Drosophila melanogaster: one gene and its partners. The protein of the gene in region 2 interacts with the protein of the main gene of each other region in a pairwise test. Each region holds a gene or a part of one and is shown on either strand. Other genes may lie near its edges.

Region 1 (4,821 bases), on a different chromosome or scaffold from region 2:
TTTTTGGAATTACTGTTTAAAATGGAAATACCTGCTTACAATTTTGAAACCTGTAGAGCATATATACTTACTTCGGCATAACCATTAAGCCCAACGATTCAAAAAACTCGGCAGCTTTGCGGTTGATTTTGACGGGCGTCACCAGGACCTCCTCCAGACGCCGATGAACGGAGGGCAACTGATGCTGTCTGCCCTGGTGCGGTGTGCGAAAGAACTGGTGAGGATACCAGTCCTGCGACAGGATCTGGTCCATAATGGGAGCGGAGATGGCGCCATCGCTCTTTGTGTCCGCCTTTGGGTAGGCAGCTTGCACCTCGCGACGCAAATAGGCGTGCAGTTCTCGATATAGCGGCATTATCTCCCACACGACCGCCTCCATTTCAGCTTGAAAGTTCTCCGTGTCGTAGTTAAGGTACCACGTGCGCGAGGGCGTCACATGCCCGTTGTAAGTGGCAGCGATCCGGAGAAGCCTAACGTAGCCGATGAACGTGTTCTTGGCCACGTCCTTCTCGTTAATGGCCCTGCGCCAGGCCTTCCAGTTGATGACCAGATCCTCGTATAGCTTGGTGTGCATGTTTTTGTTCATGATCTGCGGGTACATGGCCAGCGAACCACGGGCGGAGCAGTCCTCGTAAGGGCAGACCAGGGGTCCGTTGACAAAGTTATGGATCTGACGTAGAAGGTCCTTGGCCTGCTCGTAGTCCTTTGGCCGCAGTCCCTGCAGCTGCAACTTGGCCATTCGCTGCACGCGCCTACGAAGAAGTGGGTCATTCAATTCAGCCACTGACACAACGCTGAGATTGCCCGCTAAGTCGTAAAATAGTCGATAGGTCTCCGCCTCTACCTCCAGCTTGGAGTTGAGAACCTGTCCGCCCAGAGGTGACTTTCCTTTGGCCGTGAGCTGCACAAAGATCCTGCGGTTCAGACTCCACACGTGGCGCATGCGGTCTTTGGCTCTATCAAGTATCTGCTTGGTAGCCAGTTCATAGCTGGACTGGCCGATTCCGAAGGTCACGGAGAGCAGAAGGATTAGCGATACTCCTAAAAAAGGCAACCGCATTTTGCCTTCGCTGGCTTCCGTTTCGCCTTGATAAGGTTATCGGAGTGCTTTCGAATGCGACTTGGGATTTGCTTCCGACTCTGACGAAAGCTCGAGCAGAACTGAGTCCAGACTGCCAGTCGAGCCGCAGGCTTATCAATCTAAGTCCGGGGCATTGAGCTTATCTGTAATTGGGAAAGAAACCCAGCTAGCGATCTCTCCAAGCAAACGTTGCGTATACGTTACGAGCTTGGCATTATTTATACGCTGAGTGTGCCAGCCCGAGGCGGAAATCGCAGTGGGCACGGCGGGGAAGACATCCTTACACCATAATAGACTGATTAACAGCTGCTGGTTTTGTTAGCCAGTGGCCCATATTCAAGCAAAATCATTTTGACATATTCCTTCCGAAGAAGAGACAGCGGAGGTAGTCCTTTGCCCCGCGGTGCACCAGCGGAGCATTCGGAATTTAAATCGGAGAAATATGGGGAAGTTCGTCGTTCGTGTTGCATGTGGCACGGCATTTGTTTATGCCGGCTGACCTACAAGCAAACGTGAGGGCGCAGGGGGACTCTGCTCACGAAGGCGAGCGTGAGAGCATTTCCCGCACGAGTCCTTTTCGAGAGAATAGGGGGAAGTTCGCGTGTGTATTTTTTCATCGCTCTGCATCGTGGTCGCCCTGCAGATTACGTCAAACGGAAAGGAAACCCGTTAGCCGAGCTCAGTCTCCGACAAACCTTAGAACCGAGCAGTCGCCATGCAAGCGCACGTATTTACAGTGGCCCAGTGTCATAGTGTCCTAGTATGAAGTGAAAAAATCAAGGAATATGGTGAAAAGTGAAAAGTGAAAGGCAGTAAAAAGCCTGAAAGGGCATGGAACATAGCGCGGAACTCGCACCCCTACAGCCGCACAGTGAAGCGCGTTACCATCACAAGTGCATTATTCGGTGCGATGAAAATTCTTCAGCGCCCAAAAATAGAGTGAAATGTGTGCTGCATATTGTTGTTGCTGCTACTGAGTTGCTTAAGGGAGGGGGAGAGGCCACGACGGAAACTAACCTACATTTTCGCGCTCTTTCGCACGCTTTTGCTGACACACACACAGGCACACGTGCGGTGCCAGAGAGGCCACCGTGCTATCTCTTTCGCACTCACCCTTTGGGCCGCGAAAGAAATCAACAGTAAATTGTAATAACACTTCTTAGACTGCCAGTAGGCTTTTGCATGTGTGTGTGTGCGTGTGTCAAACAATGTGCGTGCCCGAAGTTTTTTGCTTTGTTCTGTTTTTGTTGCTGGTTCCGTTTCAACATCCCCACCCACTCACAGTCACATTGTTGCACAGTTGCGACTAAATAAAAATGTAATTAATGTAAAATAAAATCAAATAAAACAGCAGCAGGAGAAAAAACAACTGGATCGGGAATGGTGATTGAGCCAGTGTTGGGAAGTCGATGTTAAAGTGCGAGTGAAGGCGAACGTGTGCAAATGTGCTTTGTGTTCGTGTGTTGCAGGCCCAAGAAAGTAAAATACGAAAATAGAAATAGAAATTGCCGGAGTGCAAACACACAAGCGATTACATAAAGCCCAACTAGCATCCCCAACATCCGACAACTGCAACCAGCGGAGAATAAAAAAAAATTGATGGCCAATGCTTAAAGGTAAAATCGGATATTCATACGCGTGTGCGTGTGTTAGTGTTTGGGGGGAAGTTTGGGTTCCAACGCAACAGCAATGTCCTGGTCATAAATTAGCCCTTGATGTGCACTTAACTAGGTGGCCACACTTTCTCTTCGTTTCGAAGCGCTTCGTTCTGTTCGCACGAAGGAGAGAGCTAAAATGGCGGAAGGGGACCGATAACAAAATTCGTAGCACAACTTTAGGGGCCAACTGGCAAAGCTCTGCCAGCCGCACTTTTATGAGCCAACTTTAAAACCAACCGCTGGTCACGCCCAGAAAGCAGAAACCAGAAACAGAAGCGAGTATCCCCGCCCCAAAGAGAAAGACCCCACCGAACAATTGAAAGCCAACAACACACTGCTTAATGCCTCGAGCGCCGCTCTCATTGTTGTAATAAAAGTGTTTTTGCCGATTTGTGTGTGTCTGGGACAGACCAGCAAATGCAGGTGGATCTCCAATGGCACACGACAGCCCAGCCTCCAGGCGTAATGGCACATCCCTGCCACTGCCAGCGAATTTCCGCCAGCAAACATCACATCAACTGCCATAACGGGGTGTTGGAAACTTAATATTGAATATTTTATGGGCGCCTTCATCTACCGCTTTTCCATTTTTGCTGCCAGTTGCGAGTTGCCAGTTGCTCGCAGACGTGTCAAGAAGTTTGCGAGAAACACAACAGGAAGCGCCGGCCTACACAAGCACCTACACACCCATACACATGCCCATATATGCACAACAATGCCGGGAGCAGCATCAACAAAGCGCTGAGCAATGAGCAGCCCCCGACCCACGCCACAGCCTACGCAAGCTCATTGCTTTTTCGTTGGGCGCCATTTATCAATTCTTGTATCTTACTTGTGTTGTGTGCGTCTGTGGAGAAGATGCTAGATTGTGTGTATGGGTGTGCCCATAATGTTAATTAACTTTATCTCGCTCAAGCTTTAAGTCTTGAAGCGGCACTCATTTCCCGGCCCTCGCCACAATTCGCATTCTTCCCCTTCAGGTGCTTATCTCTTCCGTTACGCACATAACACATACGTTGGCCGAGTGAGTCGTTACGTTGCGTATACGTACTGCACTGGCAGAAAGGTTTTTCTCAGTCTTGAGGAAGTCCCCATTGAGTGCTGACTGCTATCTTTGTTTCACGGAACCAAATCCGTACATTTGTTCCTCTTTTCGATTGTCTTGTATTAATTCACAGTATAGTAGTAGTAGTGAAATAAAAAGGCTTGGTATTTGAAAAAAATTGGCAGAATGAAGAGAAATTATAATCGTATGTGTTCAAAGGACACCTTTTTTTTATTTTAAGGTCATCAATCTGAAGATTTTTTCTGAGTGTGAGCCGCGTGCCTTGGTTCGGGTGCTTTGAGCTGTAGGGGATTAGCGCGCTGCCAATTAACGTTACATGACACGACGCAGAGCAATTGCGGGCAGAGGCGATTTAATTTACTCTCATTCCCCCTACTTGCATAAGCTTAAATCTTTCCACTTACATCAATCTCTTTCTCTCGTTTAGAAAACATACGCATCGCATCGCAAAATGTAAAGCAATAATCAGCACAACAAAGCCAAAGCTCACAATAGAAGTAGACGACCAGGCTGAGCAACTGAGCTGGGACGATGCCAAATGCCATTATTGGAAACGGTCGTAGTCATAAGATTTGCATAGTATAGCAATAGCAGCAGACATCATGAAAGCCCCAAGCGTGATAAGCACAGCAACAATAGCAACAGCAATAGTAGATACTAGGCACAACATGGTTAACAAAGGGAACGGTGACAATATAATCGGTAAACTGAGCGATCGACTCGCTTGAATAGTGAGATAGACATATGCCCAGTGTTCGAAAATCGAGTGAGAAGCCTGGCAAAAGAGAGCGCGACCAAGGCATGCAGCTGCCCTAAGGACCTCGCCCAGGACGACGACGACGACGGAGTCGAAGGACCAAGAAGCAACCGCAACCAGAGGCAGCACCCAACAAAACGACGACAATCAGTCAAGATGAGTGATGATCAAGCGACGTTCAACGATGAGAAAGGTGAGTCCCCTAACCGCTAAGCCCTCCTGATACTGCTATTGATAGTTTTCTAAGCCACCCGGCCTC
Region 2 (5,348 bases):
GATACTTTCGATTTCTTTGGCCACGCAATATCTGCATACAATGCAATCGATTCCCAGCACTCACCTCCACTCATTAGTGATGCAATCCAGCAGATGGAAGCCATCCACAAAAGCTGTCGTCCACCTGGAGCCATGGTTCTGGTTCTACTTACGCCCTGAGTAACCAGATTATTCGAAAAGCGCTGTTCGGAATGGATGTGGCAATGACAAGCGTGGCTGACTTTCACATCGTAGTGCGCATGCGTGCGCCTCGAAACTCGACTGACAACTGGTCGCTCGAAGGTTCGTGTTCGGTTTTGGCCATCGTCTTGGCCAAGTGTGGGGAGTTTCCCACTGCGCTCCACAGCTTCGTTCAGCTCCCCAGCTTTATCGGTGGTTTTGTTTTGACCTGGAACTGGTTTCCGGCACGGCTCAGCTGAGTCAGATATGCAGTAAGGTACTACATACCCCCAAAAAACCCCTTCCCTGAGCAAATCAAACTTCAATGGCTTTGTGTTTTTTTTTCAAGACGACTCTCTTTTGCTTTATTCCAAGACTTCGTCATCGTATCATCATCTAGTTATGTTGTATAAAAACAGTTACTTGTTTTCTATTTTTAGATGTTTTTTGTTTTACTCTTGTTAATATTCCTGACCGGGTTAAAAGTTTTCTGAATTTTTTCATCTTGCCGTGTGTAGCTTAAAATATACTGAAGTAAAGATTCGATTTGCATTTAACAACTTGTTGCATGTTGCACTTTGAAATGGATTGCAGTGTGCGTGTGAGTGTGGTGTGTGCTCGTGTCGAGTGTCAAGTGTTGAGTTCTGAGTAATAGTAGTATTAGATAAATAAGGCAATATATTGTGCTTCCTCCGATCAGCCTAGGTACTAGTGGTTATGGGCACCTTATTCAAACTAAAACCCCCCCGACCGTCTATTTCCCGGGGAGGCGTATCATCCTGGAAGCTTCAAAACGCATTAACTAGAAACACTGGGTTTGTTATTTGAATGTTTCTTCATATTTCAGATATCATTTTGGGTTGTTTGTTCGTTTGGGTGGTTTATATCGCTGATAGTTCATAAGCAGAAAGTTGTGGTGGTGGCGATGGTTAAGTTATATAAATTCGCATTAAACAATTTGAGTGAATGAACTTAATGTTTCTCTGTTATTAGCCTAACTCTCGATAACTTGCAATAATATTGATAACTCATAACTGATAAATAAGTAAGTAACGAACGATAGATATGTATAACGATAAATATTTTGTGATAGTAGGATATATATTTGGCTCTCAGTTAAATGATCCCTAACAATAGTTTGTTATGGGTTTACCTCTCTCTCTCCTGGTCCTGCGAGATTTCTTGAACGAAAAACATTGTAACTCACAAAACTGGCTAAAATTCATATTCATAATCAAATTGAACTCGCGGGTGCAGGGCTAACGAATACAGCCCGGCTACCCATCAACATCGTCTTCGTCCTCCCTACATCATAAATCATACATCATACATCCTCATTTCGATTCCGATCTCGATCTCGATCTGGTAATCATCTCTCTCTGGGGGTTCTTCTCTTTAGTTCTTCAACGGACAGCGATATAAAAATAGACACGGCTTGTTTGTTGTTTTTAAGTTTTTTTTGTTGATTTTATAGGTGTTTTAAATAAAATAGATAGCATATGTTTTATAAATTTTACGTGTAAAATTTAACAGTAAATCAACTAGAAAACTACGCGTCAGTTCTTGCCGTGACAGTGAACGTGATCGTAAGTATCCCTAACTATGATGGACAGATACATGGTAAATGGTTCTGATCGCTACCAAATGTTGCTGAAGAAGTTCTTTTGAGGTTCAGTTTGATCGGATGTTGCTGATCTGGTTGGTGGTGTTGTTCTTGGTACAAGGTACTTGGTGATGGTTAACAAAAGAGATTACAAGATACTGAGAATCTACATATGTAAACGAGCGTTTCTTTTAATTACGTTTATTATTACTGATTTGACTGATTGATTTAACGTTCTGATTCTGGCTGTAAAATGGATGTTGAGTTAGAAGTTAGGATGTGATCGGATGTGCCTTAGGCGGCCTCCTCCTCCTCCTCTTCACCCTTGCCGGTGAGCATCTCGATCAGGGCGGCGGTATCGATCTGGTTCTTGTCGTCGATCACCATCTGATCGTAGGCATCATCAACCTCCTTCATGGTGAACTTGTCACCGAAGTTCATGAGCATTTCGCGGAATTTGTCACCGTCGATGAGACCATCGTTATCGAATGTTTTGAAGGCAGCAATAACAACTTCGTCTTCATCGTTGGCACCGGAGGTGGCCATGCGGTTGGCGAACAGGGTCAGCAACTGGGTGAAGTTGATCGGACCCGAGGCCTCGCCCAGCATGGCGTCCAACTCCTTGTCGTTGGCGATCTTGCCGACGGAGTCGAAGGCAGCGCGCAGATCGTTCTTGCCAATAATACCGTCCTTGTCGGCATCCATGAGTTGGAAGGCCTATCGATCCCGCACAGAGACAGAGAGAGATAGAAAGAAAGAGTGTGTTGGTGACTTGGTCCTTGACAAGTGCGATAGATGGTAGGATGACAGGATGATGGGATGGGTCTCGAGTGATCCGACATATGATGCGATATATGAGTAACGCCCAAAACTCACCTCCTTGAACTCGGCGATCTGCTTCTGGGAGAACACAGAGAAGACCGAGGAGCCAGCGCGCTTCGACTTCCTGGAGCCACGGGATCCGCCCGACGCTCTCTTCGAACCAGTGGCAGATGCGGCCGGGGCAGGAGTGGCAGCTGGTGCCGGGGTTGCTGCCTCGGATGCGGCCTCAGAAGCGGTTTCGGAAGTACCACCCTCTTCCTTGGTCTTCTTCTTCTTAACCTTCTTCTTCTCATCGGCCTGAGGAGAGAAAAGAGGGATTTATTAGTAGGGACTCGTGGCAGAAAGGGGGTATCTACTCGGTCATTAGTCGTTATAGTCCGTCTTTAGCTGTCACTTGAAAGTTCCGATTCCGGAAGTTATACTATTCGTTTTAGGGATCTTAGTAAGTTATCCGCGTTGAAGGATCTTCAATTGGAATTATATGGGTAGAAAGTTATCCCTTAATAGGGATTTAAGGGATGTAAGGTATGCTTTTCAAAAGGCCTACCCGACTAGGCCAGAAAATATGTATCTGCAGGCGAAAGTTTTCCACTCATTCTAAAAATATACCGGACGCATATTACGTAAGCTCTCCGCCGTGCGCCACTCGCTGTCTCGCTCGCTCCCCGGCACGGATATCAGATTACATTACTGACGCGTAACACTCGGATCGGATCGATCCATTTATAGAACTTTCTGCACTATTCTCACTGCGTATGTGAAGAAGGTGAATCGGGATCACCATGATTTAGAGTTATGGTTCACTTCATATTCATATCCTCGGGGTCATTCTCGAATGCAAACGATTCACTGCACTGATCGGCATTATCCTTGCTGCATATATCCAGGCACTGGGGTCCAGTTCGATTCGGTTCGGTTCAGTTCGGTTCAGTTGGATTGTAGTGATATTCCGGGACGAGTCCTTACCATGGTGCTGAACTTTGATGTGTTGTCTAATCGAGTCGAGCCGTCAGAGCACACTGAATCTCTGGCTGATTTTATCGCCAAGACAATGATGTTTTAAGAGCTCGGAGGAGCTCTTCTTCTTCCAAGCATTGGGGCCGCTCGTGGAGGTTCGGCCACCTTCGGGGATCTTCGGGCGCCATTCGCTGTATCCGTATCTGCAATATTCGTGCTGCCTTTTTTAGTATCTGCAAGGCGAGGTCCGCCCAGGAGATCGGCGGGGGCGGGCAGCTACAACTATATAGATATAGCCATGGCTATAGCCTATAGCCTATGGTGTAGCTGTATCCGAGGTGTTTACTCATCCATCGGGCGCTGCTCTAATCAAAAATCTAATTTTAAAGGCAGAGAAATTGCTTTGGCTTTGGCTTTTGGGCAGCAGAAGCCTATACATATGTTCGGAATTTATTTCGGGGCGATTCGGATTGGTTCATATAGCGGCTCTCTGTTGTGGATACATTTCCCCATCCTCGGATTCTGTTTTGTTTTCTTTTATTTTGCTCTGCTTCACTACTCGGTGCGTCTCTCTGCCAGAGGCCACCTCCGAAAGGTGTCCTCTTGCGCTGAAATCACCTACATTTTCCTTGGCGGCGGACAGCATACATATATGCCAACATATAGCATATGTATGTATTCTATTCACGCCTATATACTCGATGTTTTGCTCGCCTACGTTCCTTTTTCTGTTTTCGAAATGCCCCGCACATTGTGCAATATGAAGAGCGCCGAGAATTCCAAATCTATAGATCTGTATATACATACACGGCGATCGGGCGGATTTCGTGTCGCATAAATATCCAACGAACCCGATATTGGACCAGAGTTATTTCGGCAACAAATGTGGAATAAACATCTGACTTTATCTATATGCTAGTCATCCATGGACATTGCATAACAATGGGAAGGCTGTAGGATTTCCATTTCAGATAAACTTTGGGTACCACGTCATGATACATTAACCTTGTTACTAAAAATATTAAACACTGCAGTATTCAAGCTATTTAAGCCATTTCAGTAAATAAATAGTAAAATTGTGACAACTTCAATCGACAAATTGGATTCTCAAAGCCTTATTTACACATTTTTAGTTTTCCAAATAAGCAGGAAATTTCAATTTAGTTTCAAGTGTTACAAAATATTATTATTCATATAGTTTACATCTATTTTTTTTAGAAATATTCATTCTGCAAATTATTCGACTTTTTGCTTTCTGAAGGAAATAAGCCAAAACATTTTTCAAAACAATATTTACATGAGGTCATCTTTGCCACCTGAATTCATTACCCTCGCTGGCTAATATTATAATTAATGAAGGCTCTATGCAAATTTATGAAACGGAAAATATCTCAATTAACGATGGGATCCGTGCGAGAAAGCCTTCATAATTCATCGATCAGACATAATGAAAATCGATTTAGGCTGCAGTCATCTTCGTGCTCCATTGAAAGTGATTTTCGGCGAAAACTCTCATGGCGCAGCCATTTTGGCACGTAACCAGGCGACATTTTGGCCTGGGGCCAACCAAAACAAGAAGATATAGAGGAAAACTGCCCACAATCTAATACGCAAAGTAGCATTGAATATACGCGAATGTAAAAATAGAACAAAGTGCAAAAAACGAGCAAGACGCAGTCGAAGGAATGTTAAAACTAATGAAAACTGCGGCAAATGTATTCAATTTTCCAAGGTGCAGAATGTTTCTGGGAATATTAATGGTTTTGACACTTTGGAAGCATTGTTTATAAAGGGTTAACAATTAAAT
Region 3 (3,889 bases), on a different chromosome or scaffold from region 2:
TTGCTTTCCAGGAATATGATATTACTAAATTGCCTAGTAATATGCCTGTGCATATTTTCCTGTGGTGCCCAGGACTCTTCCTTGGACAAATTGATATCGGACATCTTTAAAACGGACGAAACACCCAAACCATCATCCCCTCCCCCGCCAGTGGTGAACCCCAAGGATTCGTCCGGTAGCACGGGATCCGAAAACGGAGGATCGAGTTCAACGCAGTACCAGTCCTGTGGCGATCAAAAGGAGTGTGTTCCTCGCTGGTTGTGCGCCAATGATACGATTAACACCAGTGGCGATGGTATCATTGACATTCGACTTGGTACGGACGCCGAATGCAAGAACTATTTGGATCTTTGCTGTGATCTGCCCAACAAGGTAACACATACATAAATACCAATAAGCTTTGATTACTTAAATTAAACTATAATTTTATTTGTTAAGAGAAAAGATCCGATTTTCGAGTTTAAGCCTGATCATCCCGAGGGCTGCGGTTACCAAAATCCCAACGGCGTTGGCTTTAAGATCACTGGAGCTGTCAACCAGGAGGCCGAATTCGGCGAATTCCCCTGGATGCTGGCCATTCTCCGGGAAGAAGGCAACCTTAACCTGTACGAATGTGGAGGAGCATTGATAGCTCCCAATGTGGTTCTGACCGCGGCGCATTGCGTTCACAACAAACAGCCCAGTAGCATTGTTGGTAAGTGTACATGCCATCTATGCCATCTATGAGATCTAATTATGAACTGGCATTTAGTGAGAGCTGGCGAATGGGATACGCAAACGCAGACTGAGATCAGAAGGCACGAAGACCGATATGTCAAGGAAATAATCTACCATGAGCAGTTCAACAAGGGATCGCTCTATAACGATGTGGCTGTCATGCTGTTGGAAAGTCCATTCACCCTCCAGGAGAACATTCAGACCGTTTGCCTGCCCAATGTGGGTGATAAATTCGATTTCGATCGCTGCTATGCCACCGGCTGGGGCAAGAACAAGTTCGGCAAGGATGGGGAATATCAGGTTATCCTGAAGAAGGTCGACATGCCCGTGGTGCCCGAGCAGCAGTGCGAGACGAATCTGCGCGAAACTCGACTCGGCAGGCATTTCATTCTGCACGACAGCTTCATTTGCGCCGGCGGTGAGAAGGACAAGGACACCTGCAAGGGTGATGGTGGCTCCCCACTGGTGTGTCCAATTGCTGGCCAGAAGAACCGCTTCAAGTCCGCCGGCATTGTTGCCTGGGGCATCGGATGCGGCGAGGTGAACATTCCCGGAGTGTACGCCAGCGTGGCCAAGCTTCGTCCGTGGATCGACGCCAAGTTGAAGATTTGGAGTATTGACCCCAGGCACTATACACCCTAAGAGCAAAATTGTCACTTGAATTTGTGGGTTTTAATCTTCATGCTTCACAATGCTCTCACTTAATATATGCCCAATATGTTAATACTCAAAATTAAAAAAAAAAAAAATCTTTTTATTTTAAGCTGAAAAAATATTTTCGGAACAGTGGAAAAGGAATAGGCTAACAAAAATTGAATTCAGTTGGCAGCAATTTTGAGCTTATCGATGTCAATTTCAGTCGGAGCACCTGGTCACACTGTCGTCGGTGTGCATGGGGAATAAGAACAAGAAAGATTAGATTCGTGCAGGCCAACGTATTTGCTCTAAATAGAATATCTGCAGAAACATGGACAACTTCGGACTGGGCGGATCGGATCTAAGCAAGGGGCAGATATTCCAGGTACTGGTTCGCCTGTCTGTGGCCTCGCTGATCACATATTATTCGGTGAAATGGATGATGAACCAGATGGATCCGACCAGTAAAAACAAGAAAAAGGCCAAAGTTCTGGCTGAGGAGCAGCTTAAGAGGTTTATATTAGACTCATATAGCATATATTGTACATGTGTAAACCTTTTCCATGCAGGCTAGCCGAGCAGGAGGGCTTCAAGCTAAGAGGGCAAGAGTTTAGCGACTACGAGCTTATGATTGCGTCACATCTTGTTGTTCCCGCCGACATAACAGTCAGTTGGGCCGATATCGCCGGTCTGGATTCAGTCATTCAGGAGCTCCGGGAATCGGTGGTGCTGCCAATCCAGCACAAGGATCTCTTCAAGCATTCGAAGCTGTGGCAGGCGCCCAAAGGCGTCCTGCTCCATGGACCACCGGGCTGTGGAAAGACGCTGATAGCGAAGGCGACGGCAAAAGAGGCGGGAATGCGCTTTATCAACTTGGACGTCGCCATTCTTACCGACAAGTGGTACGGGGAATCCCAGAAATTGACTTCTGCTGTCTTCTCGCTTGCATCGCGAATCGAGCCATGCATTATTTTTATTGACGAAATAGACTCATTTTTGCGATCTCGAAACATGAACGACCACGAGGCTACCGCCATGATGAAGACCCAGTTTATGATGCTGTGGGATGGCCTCAGCACGAACGCCAACTCGACGGTGATTGTGATGGGTGCCACGAACAGGCCGCAGGATTTAGACAAGGCCATTGTGCGCCGCATGCCAGCCCAATTCCACATTGGTCTGCCCTCGGAGACCCAACGAAAAGACATCCTGAAGCTGATCCTCCAATCGGAGGAAGTAAGTCAGGATGTCGACTTGAATCGCTTGTCCAAGCTCACAAATGGCTTCTCGGGCTCAGACCTGCGGGAAATGTGCCGGAATGCTTCAGTTTACCGAATGAGGCAGCTCATCACGTCCAGAGATCCGTCAGCTACAGCGCTTGATCGCAACAACGTCCGCATCACCATGGACGATTTGCTGGGCTCGCACTTAAAAATTAAGGAATCAAAGATGCACACGAGCAGCCTATTCTTAGAGAATAGAATCGAATTAGATTAAGCTGACCATTGTTTATTCAAGCTCCCGATATATCCAACTTAAATTTGTATAATAAACTTTTTATTTGCCTTTCGAGAGGAGCTCCAATGTTATGTGTTAATTAACCCTGTTCTCTGCATTCCAAAATGGGTATCCGGAAAACGTAGTTTTGGTAGTCTTGAAAACAGCAACGGATACTGCAGGAAATTACACAATCCATAGCATTTCCGTAAAGCGGAGCTCAATGCACTTTAATTATTACATTTACGGGCTTCTGTGAAATATTCACCTAGAGAAATTTCAAACATTTATAAAGATATTGCACTTGTACACTTCTTCAAACACACACACAACTTGCGTCACGCGACCGTGGGCTTTCAATCGTAAAAAAAAATATAAGTAAACTTGTGCAGTTTTATTCTCTTTTAAAAAGGTCGTTTATTTCTGACGGCATTTCAAAGCTACACATTTGTATATCTAATTAAAAATGAATAAAAACATGCATACATTTTAAATAATCAAACCAAAACAAATTAGTTCTTGATGTTTTTGTATAATTTCTTAATTTAAGAAAAATATAGAGTGTACAAACTTCAAGCGAAGAAATTTGCTTCTGCACATTTTAATTATGTTTCGTGCTCATATAAATACTTTCTTCGATTGGCTCAAATCATTTCTGTTGAAGGCGTTGATTAAACCACTTCAAATCCAAGCGAGACTATATACTTAACAAAAAATGAACCCAATGGTAAGCTATATTTCCAATTTGTCTTTTTGATAGGAGATATTTTGTATGTACATACTTCATTTACGCGCATCCTTTCTATTTCAGTTAACTTTGATTCCTGGATACCTATTCATAACCTTAATAATTATTGGAAGTACTGCACACAGTAATTCCTATGCTGTGAATAAAACCAATAGTGTCGAAAGTGCCGAGTGGAGCTATCCTGAATACGGAAAAGGATCTACTCACAATACCGGAAGAAGATCGGAAAAGCTGGATCTGCAACATTATAATCGGGAAACCGAACGCAATGTGACTTTGAAACGCGGTGTG
Region 4 (4,032 bases), on a different chromosome or scaffold from region 2:
ATCTGGCCAGCAATATCCGTCAGGGCAAGATCAAGGTGGTGTCGCCACAGTTCGTTGACCAGCATCTGTTCCGCTCCCTGTTGGTGCCATCGGGCCACAACAATCACCAGGTGATCGCCACCCAGCCCCTGCCACCAATCATTGTCCACCAGCCTGGTGCACCACCAGCCCATGTGAACAGCGGCCCACCGACTGTGGTGCGCGGCAATCCGGTGATCTACAAGATCAAGCCCTCGGTCATCTACCAACAGGAGGTGATCAACAAGGTGCCCACTCCGCTGAGCCTCAACCCCGTCTACGTGAAGGTCTACAAGCCCGGCAAGAAGATCGAGGCTCCACTGGCCCCGGTGGTTGCACCCGTCTACAGCCAGCCCAGGGAGTACAGCCAGCCCCAGGGTTATGGTAGTGCCGGAGCTGCTTCCTCCGCCGCCGGTGCCGCCTCCTCTGCCGATGGCAATGCCTACGGCAACGAGGCTCCACTGTACAACAGCCCCGCGCCCTATGGCCAGCCCAACTACTAAGGTGCTCATCCTGGGCATGGGTTGCTCCTCAGCTGCGACAGCTGGTTTAATTTAAATTTTTGTTTTTTTTTTTCTTTGCCGAACTACTGAGCGCAAATAAATGAAAAAAAAATACTTGAAACGTAAACGTTTTGTCATCAATTATTTTCGACCGGAAGGGGCTACCTGAGTGGCAATGAAGCACACAGATTAAGCACATATTTATGAATATATAAATATATACGAATGCATGAGAGAACAAAAAATTATATCTAGTTTTCTTCAAAAATAAATAATAAAGGGGAAAATGGTATAAAGTATGAACATAAAATTATGAACGAGTATAAATAAGTTTGTAATTGAAATCTCTACGGTCATACAAGTATTTTAACTATTCTATAAATATGCATAAACATGGTACGCATTTTATGAGATACAATTCGAAAGATATTGGATAGCATTATCATGCATGAAATTATTTCACACTCTTGTGATGGTAGCTATCTTATTCCAGTTATCGTTTAATTGCAAAGAATGGGATCAAAAGGTCATCTTTATCAACATATTGTTGATTCCGGAATGAATAATAAATAATAACATAACTATGAATTAATGGAGCAACTATAATTTTACGGCCTCTTTTCTTTTAAACAAAGAATATAGCACTTTTAATGCATTAAATACGTATTTAAACCTTTTCTTTTGAAACGCCAAATTCATATTAGAGTTTCATAAGATTGTTTTAAAACATAACAACATAATAATTGAAGAATTGGAAATCTTTTTAGGTGTTTGTAAGCCTTTGAATTCCTAATTGGAATAGCTAAAGATCCATATTTCATCTTCAAATCTCTTTGCAACTAGAGATTTATTTTATCTGGCAATTATTAAGTATACATTTTTATATGGTACTTTAAACTGATGGTTTAATCAGTTACATGGATTTTCTAAATTAAAAATGGTCATGTGAAGATAGCCACTCTTCTAACAATCTAATCACATTTATAGTAAGAAATACAATACAATACAATACAATACAATACAATACAATACAATACAATAGAAAGACAATCGAATCTGCGCAATCCGTGTGAAATTCAAGGACTACAGCTGGGTGGCTAATCATTTCCCCCTATCCACTTACACCTCGGATTACCTCTTATTCCGACTCCCGGAGTCTTGTGTCTGCCAATGCGGAACTATTTTCGCTATCTGAACAGACGTTCGGACCTCGATATGCGGCAAAGATTCACAGCCCGGCTGTTGATTCCGATTCGGTGGCAATGTGTTCGTTGTTATTGTAAAACGGGCAATGGCAACTGGGCAGTGGGCAGTGGGGTTTTCGGGTTGTGGCTTCTACGTAAGTGGAAGAGACGCCGTGATATGCGCTGGCAGCGATGCGTGCGATCTATCAACATTTGGCCATGTTTCGTTCGCATCGCGTGGGCCCGGAGCGGAACAGCCGGCACCGGAGTTGGCATCAATCCAAATGTCACGTACCCGGAGCCGGAGACGCGTCCGGAGCATATTTAAAGTAGTCGGCCACCAATGGAGGGCAGCAGAAGACAGCAGACAGTCCAAGCGGGAGCACACCAGAAGCCGAAGAGCAACTGGAACTGCAACTGGGAGACAAGATGACGAGATCGACCTACATTTGGGCGCTGGCCGCCTGCCTGATCGTAAGTGTTCAAGCTCGAAATCTTAGGATTAATCCCAAGAAAACCAAGTCTATCAATTCTGACTGCTTTCGTTTGTGCCATGTAAATCGTACATGAAAAGCAAATTGACTTTCCTTTAAATTACTTGAAACGGAATCAAGCTATCTATCGATGCTAGACTTATTTTAAGTATATGTATATGTCGATCCAATTCTAATCCACCCCCCCCCCCTCAATTTACTTTTAGGCCTGTGCAAGCGCCAACTACGGCAGTTCCCAGGGCTATGGACCCGAGTCCGGAAGCGGTGCCTCCGATGGCGGTGCTGATGCCGCTTCAGCGGCCGCAGCAGCTGCCGGCGGTGCCGGTGGAGCTGGTGGCGAGTACGGTGGTGCTAACGCCGGTGCTGGTGCTCTCGAATCCGGAGCCGATGCCGCCGGTGTGGCACAGGCTGGCCAGAGCAGCTACGGATCCGACCAGAACATTCCGTACAAGCCGGTGAACACCAAGGGTAACACCCTGACCTCATCGATCACCTACCCGCAGAACAAGGGCGAGATCCTCATCCATCGTCCCGCTCCCATCATTGTCAAGCGTCCGCCCACCAAGGTGCTGGTGAACCATCCACCATTGGTGGTTAAGCCCGCTCCCGTGGTGCTCCACAAGCCCCCAGCAATCGTTCTCCGCAAGGTCTACGTCAAGCACCACCCACGTCGCGTCAAGGTTGAGCCCGTGTTCGTCAATGTGGTCAAGCCCCCAGCAGAGAAGTACTTTGTCAACGAGAACAAGCAGGGCTACGGACAGGGCTCGCAGTCCCACGGACACGGCCATGGACACGGTGGCCATGGACACGGACACAGCGGACACGGACACGGTGGACACGGTGCTGGACCCCATGGTCCTGGACCCCATGACGGTGGCCGTGCTCTGCCCGCCTACGCTTCGGGAGCTGATTCCGCTGCCGCCAGCGCTGGCTATCAGCTGCTCCAGAGCGGCAACCAGGGTCTGTCCGCTCTTGCCAACATCGCCGGCGAGCGTGAGGGTCCCTATGGTCCCGCTCCAAGCCATCAGCACTATAGCGCCGGTCCAGCCGGACATGGCGGCTATGCTGCTCCCGCCTATTAGGTAACAGATGCGGAGGAGTTACGGATTGGATGACTGCTGCGGCTCCGGAATCAACTGAAGCGGCTGGTTTAGTCATTCGCTTATCCGGCTGATTAGTTACTATGTTTTTTTTACAAAAAAAAAAAAAAAAAACAGCCTGATCGACCAACGCCCATGCCTACGCCCACGCCCACTCATGCACACCCCAATACCACCCACTCACCCATTCAACGGCCCAGGAGGGGCGTGGCACTCAGGTTTCTTTGCAAAACAAATAAAAAATTTGAACAAAAAAAAAAAAACAATTATACCCAAGCTGAATGTTGTTTTCGATGAAGGGTGAAATCTAGATGCTAGTTATATTTAAATTAAACTATCATTAGATATATACTCTAATTGATAGTTATTGATAGTCTTGCGACTCATTTTAAACTTGATACACTTATAGCATAGACAGTGAGTAATATCATTGATATTATTATATAATTATTGTTACACAAAGTGCATATGATGAGAATCGATTTAATGATGGGAGAACTGACTTACCCGCAACTTTATTCGCAGCAACAAGTGTCGCATATAATAAATACAATAAATCCGAAACGCAGGCTGTCATTACACACATCGTTTGGTTGTCCTTCCCCATTGTTGTGCGTTATGCCAATGGCATCCCACGCAATTGTTCAATAACAAACGGGCGGCAAAATCGGCTATAATGATAGGTAAGGCAAAGAAGAGCTCGGCTGATGACAGGTGGAATCGCAATTTAGGT

Evidence for each region.
Region 1: the proteins of Mlc2 (region 2) and NaCP60E interact in a two-hybrid assay, tested with the Drosophila melanogaster proteins (one large-scale study listed by BioGRID).
Region 3: the proteins of Mlc2 (region 2) and nmd interact in a two-hybrid assay, tested with the Drosophila melanogaster proteins (one large-scale study listed by BioGRID).
Region 4: the proteins of Mlc2 (region 2) and Cp38 interact in a two-hybrid assay, tested with the Drosophila melanogaster proteins (one large-scale study listed by BioGRID).

What each region holds. Positions count from the first base shown.
Region 1 is NT_033778.4:24,889,852-24,894,672, forward strand, and holds the start of NaCP60E (Na channel protein 60E), read left to right. Parts: upstream 1-1,762; 5' UTR 1,763-1,986; intron 1,987-2,432; 5' UTR 2,433-2,697; intron 2,698-4,232; 5' UTR 4,233-4,718; coding exon 4,719-4,755; intron 4,756-4,821. Other genes in the region: Ance-5, read right to left, coding at 72-1,060. UniProt on the Drosophila melanogaster protein: Mediates the voltage-dependent sodium ion permeability of excitable membranes. Plays a role in processing of olfactory information during the olfactory avoidance response.
Region 2 is NT_033777.3:30,170,934-30,176,281, forward strand, and holds Mlc2 (myosin light chain 2), read right to left. Parts: upstream 3,619-5,348; 5' UTR 3,554-3,618; coding exon 3,551-3,553; intron 2,882-3,550; coding exon 2,639-2,881; intron 2,480-2,638; coding exon 2,057-2,479; 3' UTR 505-2,056; downstream 1-504. Other genes in the region: Rsod (uncharacterized protein), read right to left, coding at 65-134.
Region 3 is NT_033779.5:10,301,632-10,305,520, reverse strand, and holds nmd (no mitochondrial derivative), read left to right. Parts: upstream 1-1,573; 5' UTR 1,574-1,684; coding exon 1,685-1,866; intron 1,867-1,922; coding exon 1,923-2,850; 3' UTR 2,851-3,348; downstream 3,349-3,889. Other genes in the region: CG5390 (uncharacterized protein), read left to right, coding at 16-372, 439-694, 752-1,359; CG13138 (uncharacterized protein), read left to right, coding at 3,566-3,577, 3,662-3,889.
Region 4 is NC_004354.4:8,479,780-8,483,811, forward strand, and holds Cp38 (chorion protein 38), read left to right. Parts: upstream 1-2,057; 5' UTR 2,058-2,134; coding exon 2,135-2,179; intron 2,180-2,405; coding exon 2,406-3,281; 3' UTR 3,282-3,532; downstream 3,533-4,032. Other genes in the region: Cp36 (chorion protein 36), read left to right, coding at 1-521.